Linked DNA regions of Oryzias latipes. The protein of the gene in region 3 purifies or fractionates together with the protein of the main gene of each other region. This does not show direct contact. Links are inferred from orthologs where the notes say so. Each region holds a gene or a part of one and is shown on either strand. Other genes may lie near its edges. The genes, in order: mad1l1, lbr and mad2l1bp.

The links.
Region 1: the proteins of mad2l1bp (region 3) and mad1l1 purify together in Homo sapiens (co-immunoprecipitation; 4 studies listed by BioGRID and IntAct, with this or other methods). This does not show direct contact. The link is inferred for Oryzias latipes from reciprocal best matches to the Homo sapiens genes MAD2L1BP and MAD1L1.
Region 2: the proteins of mad2l1bp (region 3) and lbr purify together in Homo sapiens (co-immunoprecipitation; 3 studies listed by BioGRID and IntAct, counting the BioPlex papers as one, with this or other methods). This does not show direct contact. The link is inferred for Oryzias latipes from reciprocal best matches to the Homo sapiens genes MAD2L1BP and LBR.

Annotation. Positions count from the first base shown.
Region 1 is NC_019859.2:22,958,979-22,964,609, reverse strand, and holds part of mad1l1 (mitotic spindle assembly checkpoint protein MAD1), read right to left. Parts: coding exon 5,549-5,631; intron 4,545-5,548; coding exon 4,430-4,544; intron 2,421-4,429; coding exon 2,359-2,420; intron 1-2,358. UniProt on the Homo sapiens protein: Component of the spindle-assembly checkpoint that prevents the onset of anaphase until all chromosomes are properly aligned at the metaphase plate.
Region 2 is NC_019882.2:329,833-335,463, forward strand, and holds part of lbr (lamin-B receptor), read right to left. Parts: intron 3,506-5,631; coding exon 3,451-3,505; intron 3,209-3,450; coding exon 3,014-3,208; intron 1-3,013. UniProt on the Homo sapiens protein: Catalyzes the reduction of the C14-unsaturated bond of lanosterol, as part of the metabolic pathway leading to cholesterol biosynthesis.
Region 3 is NC_019873.2:27,030,756-27,036,390, forward strand, and holds mad2l1bp (MAD2L1-binding protein), read right to left. Parts: upstream 3,573-5,635; 5' UTR 3,525-3,572; coding exon 3,224-3,524; intron 3,005-3,223; coding exon 2,733-3,004; intron 2,666-2,732; coding exon 2,144-2,665; 3' UTR 1,714-2,143; downstream 1-1,713. Other genes in the region: epoxide hydrolase 1, read left to right, coding at 1-37, 124-232, 1,285-1,410, 1,498-1,699; uncharacterized protein LOC101165914, read left to right, coding at 4,039-4,118, 4,321-4,384, 4,472-4,582, 4,696-4,812. UniProt on the Homo sapiens protein: May function to silence the spindle checkpoint and allow mitosis to proceed through anaphase by binding MAD2L1 after it has become dissociated from the MAD2L1-CDC20 complex.

The DNA.
Region 1 (5,631 bases), on a different chromosome or scaffold from region 3:
AAAGCACAGCAGATAGGCTGCCTGGCTGTATCTCCATCTGCTGTTCATTTACCACCATGGCCAGAGTTTAACACAAACGGCGCATGAGCTGGTCTGCACAGGTTTGCAATGCTGGCAAGCCTTCCAATCTGCTTCTACTAGAAAAACATGCAGCGTGTTTTCTTATTGTTTTAGAACATTTTTTTTTAAAATCATTCATTGTCTAAGCCAGTTTTGTCCCTTTAAGGGTCACGGAGCTGCTGGAGCCTATCCTGGCCACTCATGGGAGAGTGCAGGAGACATCCTGGACAGGTCACCAGTCTGTCGAAGGGCCACAAATCCCACACCCAGAAACAATTTAGAGTCACAAATTCACCTATAAGCATGTTTTTGAACGGTGGGAGGAAGCCGAAGTCCTGGAGAAAACCCACGCATGCACGGGGAGAACATGCAAACTCCACACAGAAAGGTCCCCCGTTGGGGTTCTGTCTTCTTGCTGTGAGGCAAGATCGCTAACCACTGCGCCACCATGCAGCCCCAAATGTCTTTAAATTCATCCTCAGCGACATAAACAGTTAAATCTCAAGGGCTTAGTTAAAAAAAATATATATCTTTTTTCTAAAGAAAACTAAAAAAACAAAAAAGATTTTTTTTTCAGTTTATTAAAATTAAACCAATTTTTTTCCACTAATGTGGATTCATGAAATCCAGAATTTAATTTACAGTAAACTGTTTTTATAGAGTTTTTAGGTTTTAGAAATCATACTTATTTTAAAAGTTCCAATGATCAATTACCTAGCTATGTTAAAATTGTTTTTTATTACCAAATAACAATACTTTTAAATGGAAATTTAAAAAAATACATTCATATTGAATTTATTCCTGAATCAAAGTCCTATTAGATGATAATTTAGAATGTAACATTTTACTCCACCCTTCTGCAGTCTGAGCTCTAACCTGAAACCTTCTAAAATCTCTGTCAAACAGAGGAGAAGATAGTCTTCCCTTTCTACGTTGCAGTTCATCGTTCCCGGTTTAGCTTGTTCTTTTAGAGTGATTATGCTACTTTTTTTTTTTTAAACAGCGCACCCTGTTCTGTGTCCTGATTGGCTGGAGACCTTGTCAATCAATCTCCTCCGTGCCGTGTCTCCGGTACAGAAATGCAGAGCTCTTCAGATCTACAGAAATCTTTGATCGCGATCAGATCTTTGTTTGTCTAGACTTGATTTCTATGAAAGTTTGAAATTTAAAACAAGAGAAAAAAGGGTGAAAATGTTCATGCCTGTCTGAGAAAAGGGTATTTAGGCAGTGAGGAGTTTTACTGCCATAACACATCTGTAATCAGACTCAGTGGATTTCACCGATCACGGTTATTTTTAGAACATAACTCCTGCAATACATGATGGAACTCTGTACTGGTGAAAAGGTAACGCAGATATATGAGTAGCTGCAGCAGAAGACATAGACATTTGCTTTTTTCATTATTACTGGATGAGAAACAGACGTGCAGGACACAGCTGCTCAGCTTTAGAGCAACGTGTGAGGCGTGTGAGGAGCTGCAGCCCTCAACAGCTGCAGAAAATGACGGGAGAGGATCCACTATTGTTTTTTTCGTTTTAATGTATCAGCATATTTTTTCCTGACTTTTTGTCACAGAAAGTTTTTCGGTCATTTGTTTTATTTCATAAATAGTGTTATTTATTTAATTATAAGCATATTAGGGCTTTACAATAAAAGAAAGATAAAAGAAGCTTAAAGAAAAAGAGTTGTTGTGGCCCTCACAAGAAAAAGTTTGGGGACTCTGCTCTAGCATCCATGTGGTGTTGGAAGATTTGTTGTTTTTCATTCTTCCTACCATTCAAACACAACATTTCTCTAAGTTTTACACAAGGTACATCAAGCCATTGGTGCAATTGGCTCTAAATTGAGAACAAAAGTTTGAAAATATAATTTGAATCCAGATGTTTTCATCCAGATTCCATGTTATTTCTTTCTCACTCCACGCATCTGCTCCTGGTCTGGCCATTCTACCCAATTTTAGAACCCTATGTGGCCCACGAGTCAAAATAATTGCCCACCCCTGTTCTAAAGTGTCACCATTGAAACAAGACTCAATCCTCTACTGCGTGTTAAATTCAGTGGCTGTCCTGTTCCAATCCAAAGCTCCAATCCTCCTCATATCCAGCATGTGTGAGCTCTGTGCCTGTTGAAATGTTGAATTTTGGTACCTGGGTGACATTACAAACTGACTAAAGAGAGAAAGTGCTCTTTATCTATTTTTACCCCCATGAATCAGAAAGATCGCAGTGCCATCTGGTGGTCATACTGTGCATTTCATTTGACATAAAAAAAAAGGTTTGGTTTCAGGCAGTGACTGACCTTATGTTGAGTCCAGTTGATTGCCCAAGGTTCTCCCAAGCTTGGAGCTTTTCAACCAACCTCTGAAAGGGAAAACAGAATAATAATTAAGCCTAGTTACTGTTGAATTTAGGATTTAATGAGAATTAGGCCTAATAAATAAAAAAAGAATTATTAAAACACAGCAACAACAACAAAAAAGATCTTTACAACATTTTTTTACAGCTCATAACCTTTATTGTCTCTTTCTTGTTTTGTTATTGTCATCCAAAAAAGGATTTCCTTGTTTTAATCTTATCATTAAAGGAGTACTAAATACTTGTAATTATTTTTTTAGCCCAGGCTTTTCGTAGACCAAAATACATTGAAGAGCCATGTAACAAAAGATTGTTACAGTAAAAATACCACAGATGCTAAAATCCAAAAAAACATTTCATGTTTATGAAAAATAAGTCTATGATCAGGGTTCTTACATGTTTCCTCAAGTTAAAATCTAAGACCAATTTCTCAGCCTATTTCCCAGCAAGAAGAATGAAATTTTAGAGCAATAATTTCTTAACCAAACCAAACTACAGTACTTCTGAATGTGAAATAAGAATCAATCCACATTTGCAGCAGTGAAATGATTTTTGTACCACTCCAAGAATTAAATAAACAATAAGTTAAAAAGTAACAAATAAACACCATTCACAAAGTCAACTTCTTAGCCCTGCAGTCTTGGTTGGAATATCTTCATCAACTAAGCCGATTCTGCCAACTTCTCCTTTTGACCTTCCTCAGAGGGTTGGACCCTTGATATTAGGTTAGTCTCCTTGCTTCCTGCCTTTTCCTCAGCCTCCTCCACCTGCCTGTCTGCATCCCTGACCAGACCCTCAGACACCTCTTGCAGGCATCCTCATTTTAGCTTTGGCTCCTCCATTCCCTTCCTCTTAGGAGGTTGGGCTTCTGCCTTTCTAAGTCCAAATGAACTCCATATCTGGTTCTGGCTGCTGCTAAGCTTACCAGTAACCGTTTTAGTGCCCTGGTTAAGGCTAAATTTAACCCCTCAACCTTTTCTAGATGTAATCACACACCTGCCTCTGTGTGACCACAGTGTCCCCCATGCCTGCTTTGTCTGATAGGGCGGAGCCATCTGTTTGTGACTGAGGCGGAGCCAGAATTTTGTGATGGGGCGGAGCATTTAATGTGTGAAGGCGGAGCAAACCTTTTGTGACAGGGGCATAGCAAGCAAAGCGTAACGTAGCCAGCATTTTTGTGGTGTGGGCGGAGCCAACTAATAGTGACAAAGGCAGAGTTTTTCTATTTGCGATGGGGCGGAGCCTGCACGTTTTGACGAAGGTGGAGCCAACTATTTGTGTGGGAGGCGGAGCCAGCCTTTTGTGAGGGAGGCAGAGCTATCGACCTATGACAGCGGCAGAGCGAGCATTTTGTGACAGAGGTGGAGGTAGCATCATGTGACGGCGCGTAGCCTTCAATGTGCAGGAAGCCTTTCGTAACAGGGGCGGAGCCGGCAATGTGTGACATGTGTCACATATTTGTGTGATGTAGCAGATGTTGTTCCTATTATTTACCTTTTCATTATAACTTAATTTTCTTCTTTTTAGTTAAACTGTAGAGCTCTAAAGAACCAAAACCCAGAAGAAGGATCACCGAAGTACCAACAGCTTCATGTGGTTTATGGAGGCTTCCTGCTTTTGTGACAAACTCAAAGGGTTTGAAAGTGTCTGCAGGTCGTCTGCATCCACTGATGCACACAAAAAAATGTTGCTCCTCGTTTCATTTGGGTTCTGAGTTTGTGTTTGGAATGCGGCTCTATCCTTTTCTTGTGCAGACAAAAATAAAAATATGATAAAAAATGTTCGCTATTAGAAAACCTGCTAAAAACAAAAGGTACAATTAACATTAAGGGAAATGAAAACAATCAAAAGCCCAAACTACAAAAGCATAATATAAACTTTCTCCGATATACTGGATTTATCTCCATCACTTACTTTTGATTTGCGGTGGCAAAACTTTGTGTTTGAGCTAAACTGTGCATGTTGTGTTGCATAGTTGTGTCCTTATCGGCACTATTTGTGTTGTTATATCACACCTGTTTTTCAAGTTCCACATTGACGAGCTCTTCTTTGGTTTTCTCCATCCTTTCCAGTTTTTTACGAAGTCCTTCTGCTTCTTCTTTCAACAGGTTGTAATTCTCTCTGCTCTCTCTGACAAAATAGAAACACAGCAGAACCACACAGTCACTCTAAGCTTAGGGTTCAGCAATCATCAATCTGTTACTGGATATTTCAAGAATGAAAAAACTTTTTTATAGATCAAACTGATTTGATAAATGGATAACATTTTTGCTCCTTTTCTTCCACAGCAACTTAGCAGTGTTTTCCACAGTAAACCAAAATGTTAACATAATTAAAAATCTTCAGAAAGGAATCAAGTTTGAAGTTAAAAGAGAGAAATTCAAACAGCTGAAAATCCAGTTTGTTATGTTATTCTATTTACACATCTAACTTAAATATTTTTGGGTGAATTAGCAATATTAAAAACATATTTTAAAAATACTTATTAATGAAACTATGTTGACAGAATCCACAAATAAGTGAATTCGGAAAAGCATCTGTAATCTGCCCAGCAACATGCAAACACAAAGACATGATAGCGGTAAATCAGCAGATTGTTGTTCTCCCTTCATAATGGTATTTGGTGGAATTTTCTGATAAAATAAAGTTAGATGAAAATATTAACAAAAACAAAAAAAAAACTAAAACTGATTATTAAAATCCAGTCAATGAAAACTAGATTTTCTCACATCAGTTATCATGGCAATTGACAGTCAGCATTGTCATTAGCTTCTGTGACTGTTGCAGCCATTTTCACACTGAAACATTGTGTTGACACTTCCACAGGAGAATGGCATTCATTGTAGAAACTGGTTATTTTAGCTGCGATATCCAAGCTTAAAATAAAAGCTGAATCTTTTTGTCCTGCTGAGAAATAATCCCAAACCAAAAAACCCAGGGGAATTATTGTTTGTTGAGAGGTTGTCTTCATTATTATTCATTAGTAATCCAGGCTCATGTCTATTTTGTTAATTTTTTTTTCATAAAACATTGCTATATCTGCAAAAAAAGAAAAGAAAAAAGAGCACAATAAAATAAAATAAAGAAATGATGAATTAAACATCTACAAATCATAAGCGTATAAATTTTTCCACCTCAGAAAAGAATTTTCTTCTCGAAGGCGCTTCAACTCTTTTTCCAGATCTGTAACTTTCGCCGCCTCCGACTTGATAGTCTT
Region 2 (5,631 bases), on a different chromosome or scaffold from region 3:
CAGGAGAGCAGCCTCAGTGCTGAAACCATACTGAAAAGGTTCCAGAAGATTATTGTTTCAGATGATCATAGAGTTGAGAGGCGACTATTTTCTCTAGAATTTTGGAAATGAAGGGAAGGTTGGAAATTGGACGGAGATTATTGAATAAGTTGGGATCTGAACCGGGTTTTCAGGATGGGTTTAAAAAGTGATGGGACAGTACCAGATGAGAGTGACCAGTGAATAATGGCAGTAATGAGCGGAAGGAGAGATGGGAGGCAGGCTATAACTAAAGATGTTGGGAGGGGATCAAGAGAACAGGTGGTCGGTTTGGATTTAAGGATGACAGAGGAAATGTCCTCGTGGTCAGGCAGGCAGTTGAAAGGAGGAAAACATATGATTGAGGGGAAAAGAGTCAGGGATGGGAGGGAAGAGAGAAGAGCTAAGCTGTTGGTGGATGACATGAATTTTCTGGTCAAAAAATGACATGAGGGAGTTACAGGTTTCAGTGGAAAAGAAATGGGGAGGGAGAGAGTCAGGGGGGTTGAAGATAGTGTTCATCAGGGAAAAGAGAGTTTTTGAGTTGCCTTTGTTTGTGGAGACGAGTTCAGAAAAATAGTTTGTTTTTGTGGTAGAAACCAGGTCCTTATACTGTGTGAGATGTGATTTATAGATTTCTTTGTGAACAGTTAAGCCAGTTCTTTTATAGAGTCGCTCTAGCTGGCGACCTTTGGCTTTCATGTGACGGAGCTCTGGGGTGAACCAGGGGGCAGATTTGGAGAAGGAGACAGGGCGAGCTGGTTAAGAGAATCAGAAAGAAGGTTGTTGTAAGAGGAGACGAGTTCATCAGGGTTTGGTGTGTTAGGGATTGGAATATCACGTATGAGTGAGGAAAGTGCGTTCACATTGATGTTTTTGACATTATGAAAAGAGATGAGGCGGGAGGGTTTAGTGACAGATAAAGTGATGGAGATGTTAAATGATACAAGAAAATGATCAGTTACATGATAGATAGTTTTATTTGTATGTAAGATAATTGTTGCAATTTTTTTATGTTGTTTTCTTCTCTTTCTTTGCACCTATGTGGGACCGTTTGCAATTTCATTGTACTGTTGTACCAAGTGTGACTGTACAATGACAAGTTTTATCTTATCTCATCACATCTCTTAAAAGGTTGTGCAACAAAATATAAAGCTATGGGTACCATCGTTTTTGTCCAGCCCTATTTCATTTGTTTGTTTGTTTTAAATAATTCTGTTAATCAACAACTCAAAAGTAATGGCTAATTTTGATTATTTAATTTTCAATAAATTTTAATTTATTGTTACTTTGGAATGTTTCACGTCATTTCAGTGAACATTGTGGACTTTCTATCTTCAACTGAGGGGGACCAACTATTTGTCCACCACTGTATGTAAACAGACAGATGACACGTGAGAGTACATGTATGAAACTGTAATGGAGAACGGCGTTCTGCGGGGACAGATTCAGCCTTTGCAGACGCCGTCATCACCTACAGTCTCTATTGACATGAGAGCGGACCGCAGTGACTATCCAGCGTCCAGATCACGTGCTTCTGTTTCTGCACGCACTCCAGTATCAGTGATGAAAGTCAGGCAAGGAAAAAATCCCTGAACTTTTCTTTGAGCGATATGGCGGGCACAGAGCGAAATTTTGGAAAAATACGTGGTCTTAGATGCATTCTGGTGCATTCTGGCAGCTAGTTATTCACTTCTTTATCAAGAAACTAAGACTAATTGGAGCATCATGATTTGTCATTCAAACCCCTAGTTTGACTCTCCATTAAGGACTTGCTGGTCCTAAAAAAGAATTTGGAAAATTGCTCAAAGTAACACAATCCTACAATCTACGCTTTTCCTTAAAGCTGCAAAACATACAATTGCTAAAATATAGTAACATCAAAGCCCCAAATGGCAAAAAGAACACCAGTAACTATGATATTCTATGAAAATACCTCAGTTATTTATACATTATTTCTGCTTTAGAAATGACTGATGTACAACATCCACTTGCACTGTTTTCTCAAACTATAATTACATCAAAATATGGGATCTGCTTTAAACTATAATTCTATAACATAATACATCAATTCTTTAACACCAATACTAAGTAATCTGGGAAATATCAAAACAAACATACAAACTAAACTAAACATTGTAAACATTATTTTTTAAGGGAGTGCGGGTCCAAACCATCAAATACTTATAATTAATGTTAACTATACTGAACTAAATCATGGTAATTAGGAAATACAAATAAATTAGATAGAGAAATGTATTCAAAATAAAAACTGAAACTCAAAACTAAAATTGAAATTATTTCAAAATGTGGTTTTGAGATTATTTTACACAAAAAAGTATTTGACCTACACTACCTTAAAAATCTTTTTTTTCCAGCCAAGACCACTTCAATTTGTTTTTTATCGTCTTCTCACAACTGAGGTCGTGACCACGCTCAATAATGACGATGCCTGCCATTATTTTAACACAAATTTGATCGCAAACTCTTCAGATGTGTTTGTGAAAGTTTAGCGTGGGTCCGCCAGTTTTGGTCTCTAGGGAAGCAAGTCACGCTGACCACGTGGTGCAGACAGAGCCAATCAGACCCGTCGACGCATCCGAAAGCAACTAAAACGTCCCGTCATTGGTCAATTAGGCCGGGAAGACGAAAGATGGCCACGACCATAGAGGAAGCGATCTGCGGAGAAATATAGAAAATAAAGCTAAAATTAGCTGATTTCAGACCATTTTCTAATCCGGAAAGCGATTTGTCCGTAGAGATCAGGTCTTTATTTCCCGGAAAGTACGTTCGGTTTGCTCAAAAACCCGGATTTCCGGGAATTCCCGGAAGACTTTCATCACTGCAGTATGCAGACGGTCAAACAAATCAATCTTCACGAACTCCAACCCATCGTACCATCAGATTTCCTCAGCACCGAGTGTTCGGCGAGGGCCTTGACCCCTAACCCCCACGTCCAGATCATCATCTTCTCACCGAGCCAAAGCTCACTCACCTGAGTTTCCCCCCACCGCCAGCTCCTCAGGGGCAGCATGGCCAGAACGCACGTACAGGAAGAGGCCCAGCAGCACGGACAACAGGAAGGAGGCGGCGGCCAGCTGCAGAAAGTGGCTGTGGATGTAGGTGAGGTCAGCGCCCAGGTACACTGCTGCCGCCACCGCTGCAGCTGAGGCGGCGGTGGCGAAGAAGCCTGCAGGACACAGAATCATTCACTGCTCAGGGAGACGGGACCATACATGGAGGTTCTGATGCACCAGGAGGTTCTGATGCGCCAGGAGGTTCTGATGCGCCAGGAGGTTCTGATGCGCCAGGAGGTTCTGATACAGAACCGACAAACCACCCCGTCTGGACCTCTGCCATCGTTGTCCGTCTGAAAACGTTCATGACAGCTGGCCCCGCCCCATAAACTGCAGTCGCTGCCGTCAGACGTACCGTTGGTTCTGTACTTCAGCCTCTGTCCGGACCGCAGCGGCACGCCTTCACTCAGCTGCAGAGACACAAACCGGAGAAAACGCTGGTAAAGTTTCACATCCTCTATGGTCCCAAACCGATTCGAACCCATCAACCACTCACGGAACCAGAGAACCGAGGCAACACCCCGAGTCAGGTGAGACGAGGTAAAACAGGAAGTCGTGGGAGGGTGGGGTGGGGCCTGGGGCCAGATCGGGGGAAACCAAAAAACTCAAGAACTTTGATGAGGAACTCAAGCGGACACAGAAACAAACATCACATCAGGATTGGCCTGAATGCCCTGGACAAAGTTAGAAAAAGTTCTAAAGATTCTGTCTAATGATCCAAATGTGAGGAAAATGAGGCACTGAAGCGGTTCTGTCTGAAAAGCCTCCAGTAAAGCGTGCAGTTCTTTCACTGTTGTCATTCCGTTTTCACACCAACATCAGCTGATCTACAAACTCTAAAGGACATCCCAGAATTTCTTCAACTGCTGACACCACAGAGGAAATCATGTGGATATAGAAAAATAAACTTCCTGGTTGAATGAACGTCAAGATGAAAACAAAAAACAAAAACAGCTGCTACCCTTTTTTTGGTAGCGTTGCAGGTTGCGCTGGGCTCAGGCATATGGCCTGCGTCCAGCTGCAAGACCTCAGTCAACTTCTGGAAATGTTGGAGATGGACTGGAACTAGGGTTGGGCGATGTCCCCTAATTTGGCCGTTGACGATGTTTGCTGTCAACCATCGGGATGGACGATGACATCGTGGGGGGGGGGGGGGGGGGGGGGGTATTTTTACATTTTTCGTTCTTATATAACTGCTATTCGTTATTTTGCTTTTTTCATTTTATTTCCCAACTAATGACTAATCCGCGATGATCCAGTATAAACTGAGGGAAGTGACTTTAACAGAAAAAGTAACAAGCAAGATAGAAAATTAGTGTAGTCGCTCCCGCACTTAATTAGTGAAGTGGACCGGCGGAGCGCAGACTTAAAGCTTTGTGTTTGATGGGAAGGGGGGGGGGGGGGGGGTACATGAGCGGTATGTGTGGGAGATTTTTTTTTTTTTCAAATTTATTTTTTATTGAAAAAGCACAGGATAAATTGTACATTGTTTTGACGTGTCACAATGTTCATGCTTTCTCAGTTTTTTAATTGAAAAACAAAAAAAACAAAATAATAATAAATAAAAAAGGAACATGTGAGGAAGCAGGGAGTTTCAAAACATAAATGATATGACATGATTTCAGATGAAATCTGATCTTACCGACTTATATTCTGTCCATATAGACCAAGTAGGGGGTCTAAGGGCAGGGATGCCAGTATAGCTTAGTCAGTTTGTTAGTTCATTTGAGTATTTTTCTATTGAACTCTTTGTATTCGTGATCCTTTTGATTTCATGTTTTACTTCGAAGCCCATCGAGACGACTGTTGTTGTGATTTTGGGCTATACAAATAAATTGAATTGAATTGAATTGAAGTAGCGTAAAAAGCATCCAGCCGTATTTGTAAAGAGTGTGAGATTCTTTCCATTATGTAAATTCTTTGTACCACATCAATCCAGTCCTCTGTCGTTGGTTGTTCAGGTTTAAGCCATTTTCTGGTTATTGCTTTCTTACTGGCTGTCATGAGAATGTAGAGTAGTTTCTTATTTTTGTTGTCTAGGCCATCAATTTTACTCAAAAACAGACTTTCAAAAGACAAGGGGAAAACAATAGAAAACACATTTTGCAGATGTTCATGTATGTCAGACCAATACTTCTTGATAATCACACAGTCCCAAAATATATGGAGTGTGGGAGATTTAAGACTGCGATCCGTCCCGCAGCTCTAGGGGTACAAGCAACCGAACTCAGAACCGGGTCTAAAAGTGTGTCTGAGCACAGCTCGGATCGTCAGCAGACACACAGCGGTTTGAGCATCAAAGCAGAAATGTCGCTCAGTCCTTAGAAAACATTCAAACAATCACGCCGATTTGTGTTTCCAGTCGTGTCCCGACTAAATAAAGGCTGATGTTATTCTTACATGTTTACGTGCAGCCAGCAAGCAGCACCACCCAAAGCTAATGTTGTTAGCCCGTGTTAGCATACTGCTAATCCTGGCTCCGTTCAGAATAAGCTCTGACCACACGGATTAAAATTCAAATGATGAGCGAACAGGT
Region 3 (5,635 bases):
TACATGCACATTCAGGCCACCAAACCCGACACCGCAGGTGAGAGGCCACGCCCGGAGACCGGGGACAGAGTGCTGGTCACGCTTGTCCTCCGAGATCCCCTCTCAAAACGATTTCATCCTCAGGCTGTGGGGTCAACGACTCTCCTGTCGGGCTGGCGGCCTACATTTTGGAGAAGTTCTCCACCTGGACCGATTACAAAAACAGAGATCTGGCCGACGGGGGACTGGAGAGGTAAAAAAAAAAAATGCTTCCGTTTCTATGGCAACCTCTCCCCATGTTTCACACATACGCCACCTGATTTAACGTTTTATTGACCTTTGACCTCAGGAAGGGGCCACCATCTTGAAATCACCTGACCCCCCCCCCCCCCCCCCCCCAAAAAAAAAAGTCAACAAGAAATCTAAACTCCTGAGGGATTTCTATCCATCACCTCATCAAGCATCGTTGGGAAGCTACTTGTAAATTAATGTTGGATTTTTAGAAGTTTTACATTTTGAATGGGGTTAGTGTGGCCAACTTGCAAAATTGGCGTTCCCGTTGCTTGCACATTTTTTTACTGGAACGTTGTGAAGTTTTAAAATGTGAATCCTCAAGCTGAACAGAGCAATGGCTGTGTCCACATTGGAGGGCTGCGTTCTTTGTGGGCGGCTTACGTCACAGCGACAAGCGCTGTCCGAATTCAGCGACTCCTTCAAATGCAGCCGAGTACGTCCTTCTCTTTCACGATTTTAAGGATTGGTCTGGTGTGTCCTTCTACACTGCATATATCCCAAGATGCATTGCGGCCCAACTTGGACCTGTCCTGACAACAATGGCGGACCGTGAAGCGGGACCCAGAGTTGGAGATAATTACACCTTTTTAATAATTACACCTCCAAGATTAAAAGTTGGATCAAATAAGCAGGGAATTTTTTTAAACTCCATGCCTCCTCTCTTCTCCTCTCCTGTGCGGGACTCACGGTTGCTAGGCGACAGGACATACGACACGAACATATTAGGAAAGTGGGTGGGGTTAACAAAAAACCTGTTAAGGAAATCAAAAAAAGATTGCTTTTTGCAGATTCTTCCAACAATGACAGACAACCAGAATTTCAAGTGGTTGCCATGGAGATAAAACCAATAGAAAAGCTGCAGTTAATTTCTTTTTTTTAATGAATTTGTCGTGTGCTTCTCTAACCAGTGTGGCAAGGGGAGAATTGGGGGGCGGGTTGCAGTAGCTCAGGCTTCACGTGTAAAGGCTCATTTACTGGGGTTAATTTTTCAGTGAACATCCTTTTTTACAGGAAGTACAGCTTGGATGACCTTCTGACCAACGTCATGATCTACTGGACCACCGGCTCAATCGTTTCCTCCATGCGCTTCTACAAGGAGAACTTCAAGAGCGACCCCAACAGCAGAATCGATGGCCTGTATGCAAACACACACACACAAACTTTTACTCTCCAATCCTGACATTCTTTTTCAAAGCTGTTGATCCTCGTTATTCTGTGTTGTAGAACCGGGATTTTCGTGCCCACCGGTGTGGCGGCGTTTCCCAACGAGCTGATGCACTGTCCCAAATCCTGGGCTCAGATCAGATATCGGAACATCCAGTCCTACACGCTCATGCCGAGCGGCGGTCACTTTGCCGCCTTCGAAGAGCCCCAGCTGCTCGCTAAAGACATCATCCAGTTTGTGAAGAAAGTGGAGAAGCTGTAAATGCAGAGCAGGAGTCATGATGCTTTTGGTTTTAATTGTAATTCATCATTCTTCACACAAATATGCTTTAATCTTCTCTGCACCTGGTTCGCTCTCCTTGATGCTAGTTAAAAATCATTTTCAGTGAATAACGGATGTTAACTGTGTCCCGAGATATGAATAACAAAAGCAACGACTTTTGTCAAACCGTTCAAGTCTTGTTCATTAAAATGTATTGCACAAGCGGCGATGTCTGGTGTTTTCTGGAAATACCTGCATATTCTGTTCCCCACACAAAGACAAAACATTCTTTTGTATGCCAAAGGTAAAAATAATAATCAACACACATGCACATGAATGTCATGATCTTAATGCGAAAAAAAACAACCATTTTACTAAAATAAACATCCACTCGTTTATATTCCACACAGACACACATTCTGATGATCCAAATCCCTTTTAGTGTTAGTTGCTGAAGCCCTTAATAGTCACAGGTGCCTGGAACCAAACATAATCCTGCCAGTCGGCCTTTTCCCTCTGCTTCTCACAGACGTTGGGATCTGTGGCCAAAGCGATGATCTGGTTTTTGACCCGGGTGGGAATCTTGAATTGTAATTTGGGGCGAAACCAGTCCACGCCGCAATCCCTGTGAGCCAGGGCTAAAACGGTGGTGGGCATCAAGCGAACGGGTCTGGAGTCGGACAGGAGGTCGGCGACGAAGAGCGTGCGGAAGAGGAGCCTCAGGCAGGAGGACGCTCGCAGACCCTGCTCCCCGCCGACCAGCAGCAGGTCCTCCATGTTGATCTCGTAGAGCTCCTTCGGCAGGACGAGGGAACCGCCCATCATCAGTAAGACGCGCGGGACTCTGCTGAGGGAGAACAGCACTTCCAGCTGGTGGAGCACCTCCTCCAGCTCCTGAAGGGTCTGCTGACACTTGTAATCCACGTCTGCGGAGTGGACCTTCCTTGGTCTCACCACATCTTTATCCTGAAAAGAAACACCACAATTTGAATTTTCTATAAGAGCCACCGACGGCTGGAAATGTGCTTCTCACCTCCACGTCTCGCTGCTGCTGCCGCTTCTGGGAGAACACGAGCTGCTCGTACGTCATGGGGAGCTGCTGCCGCTGGTAGAGAACGCATTTGAGGATCTCGCTGACAAAACGGTAGCTGCCATCTTGGGTCACGGGGCCGGGGAAGATCACGCTCACGCAGCCTTCTTCCTTTGCTCTCCTCACCACCTCAGCATCCCTGTCCTGCGTGTTTGAGTGGCGTTCACTGGCAGACTCCTGACAGGAAGTGGCCTCCTCCTCTTCCTGTTGCTCTTCTGTAAACAGTCCATATCTGTTGCCAACATCACAGTAACCTGGTAGACATATTAACTAATTGACATATAGATTTATGTAAAGAAATCGATGGCTAAAATATAAAGGTTTATTTTAAAGCCAAATTATGCTAATTATTTAGCAGGAAGACCACATAACAGTCAGAATGAGATAAACGTGTTTCCTTTTAAAATTCTTCTAAACTCTTTCGACATTGTTACCTTGATGAATTTCTGTGTTTTCTTTGTCCTCTTCGCGCTGTTCAGAAGAGACATCGGTTCCGTTTGGGACCGTCGCTGACAGCTTCTCGTCAGTCGGTTGAGGAGAGTTTGAATCGTCAGAAAGACATTGTAAACTCAGGTCTAAGTACGTTAAACTCGGTTCTTCTCGTGAACTAATTTCTTTTTCGGAGGGAAAAGACAGTCGCCGCTTCACCCTGCTGTCTTCGCTGTTTGCGGCGGATTGATTTTCGGAGACTTCGGGATCTAGAGTCGTTTTTAGCACCAAACAAGGTTCCGCCATGTTTTTTTGAAAGTCGGCGCCTGCTCGGCTCTACCCAACTGCACCATGGGAAATGGTTGAAGTGGTGCGTTCAAATTTTTCGGAAAAAAATAGTTTAAAATGTTTTCTGTCTTGTTTACAAACGAATAATATAAATAATAATCATCATAGGATTTTGTATTGTATGTTTGACTGGCATACTGTAAGACATTAACTCTAACATGTAAACACATCATACTTTGACCACCAAAACAAAACTACAGAAAAATCATACCATTCAGAACAATATTTTATAAACTAAAGTACCACATATTTTATAACATTTCTTTTGCTAATGACAGATTTTTAAGTCGGGAAATCACACTGCAAATGCCACACTAAACAATGCTCAGTGCACCCCCTAGTGCCTGATTTGTGTAGTGCATCCAGTAAAAGTAGCCTTTCTTCCTCAGGTGTGATAATTAGTCGACGTTCACGTGGAAGAAGATTAATTCATTACCTTGAAGAAAACAGAAAGACAAGGGTGACGACCTGAATGTTTCATTCCTTTGAGTGGTTTTATTTTATCATGTCTTCCGTGCGCGTGGCTGTTCGAGTCCGCCCTTTGAATAAAAGGTAGATTTAAGTTTGCTTAAAAATTGGCACTACTTCTTCTTGCTCATGATGATTATTTGTTTTTTAACATTTTGTTTTTGAATATATATTTTTTGAGCTCTTCTAATGATAACTTTGTCAAAAAAAAGCTTTTTAACCCAACTGTGGTTGTTGTTGATGTTCTTAAAAATGTTTAGTTGATTGTTTTTGGCTTTTTACACAGGGAACAGCAATTATCATCCAAGAAAACGGTTCACATTAGGGGGAACACAATATCCATTCAGAAGGTATGGAATCACAAAATGATGCGAGAACAGTCTGTAGAAGTGAACAAGGTCAACAATGATCTGAGTTTTTGTCTGTTTTTATGTTAGTCTTCACCTGTGCGAGGGGAAAAGGTGAAAGACAGAGAGAAAACATTCTCATTTGACTTTGCTTTTGACTCCATGGACACAGAAAGCTCCACGTTTGCATCCCAGCAGAAGGTACATGTTTATTCTATATGATGGAAGATCTTCTGATCTTTATTTTAATTTTATTTTTTACCAAAGTTTGTGCTTGCAGCATATTTGTTCTTGATGCATTTTGTTTTGCTCAGATTTTCCAGGAATTGGGTTGTGGTGTGTTGAAAGCTGCATTTGAAGGGTTCAACGCCTGCATGTTTGCTTATGGGCAAACAGGCTCAGGGAAATCCCACACTATGATGGGTCTGAAAGTGAGTTTTTCCAGTATTTTCAGTACTTTGTGGCCTGCCCTGTGCAATGTGTTCATGTTTAAATATATATGGTATTAAGCAATAATAAGATGAATGTATATAATTTGAGAACATCAAGTTTTAAATTAAATAATTTAGTTTTTACTTAAAAAAACTAATGAATATTAACAGTTAGTGGGCTTCTTCCTCATGCTTCTTACATCTACTTAATTTCTTGTTCATCCTTTATATTTTTAAAGGGTTTCCCTTTTTATACGTGTTTTTTTGATCCATTATTAGTCAGGGCCTTTTGATGATGTCTGCAGGAAAATGCCATGAGTGTGAGGGCAGTAACCGCTACGAGCACCACAGCGTTTCAGATTTCTGCAGCTTTGCAGAACATCACAGAACCTTTTTAGGCGATGCAGCTTCAATAGACTGGCTTGTCTCTTTTTTACTAATCAGAAAATTTGACGTGCCCACTGAAGCATTTCGCCCTTCACCTTATTCTTCGATGGAAAGTTTTAAAATGTGGGAAGAAGTTTCTGCTTGTCTTTCTGGAAACGTATACAAGGTCATGAGCGGAGCTGCTGTTCAAGCTTCTGGATAATTCTATATGACTCTAAATGCTGACTGTCTTTTGATTTGTGATTTAAAGAAGGCAGCCGGCTCACACTGGAAAATTGCTTTCACGCTTAAGTAACTCCACTTCAGATCAGCCCATTTGTTAATCAGCAGCATTTGCTTGTGTTTCTATAGCAACACTGAAAAAAACCCAAAATATTAACCACTAGTAGACATTTTTTTTAAAGATATTGCTTTCCATAGTGTTGTGAACATTTAT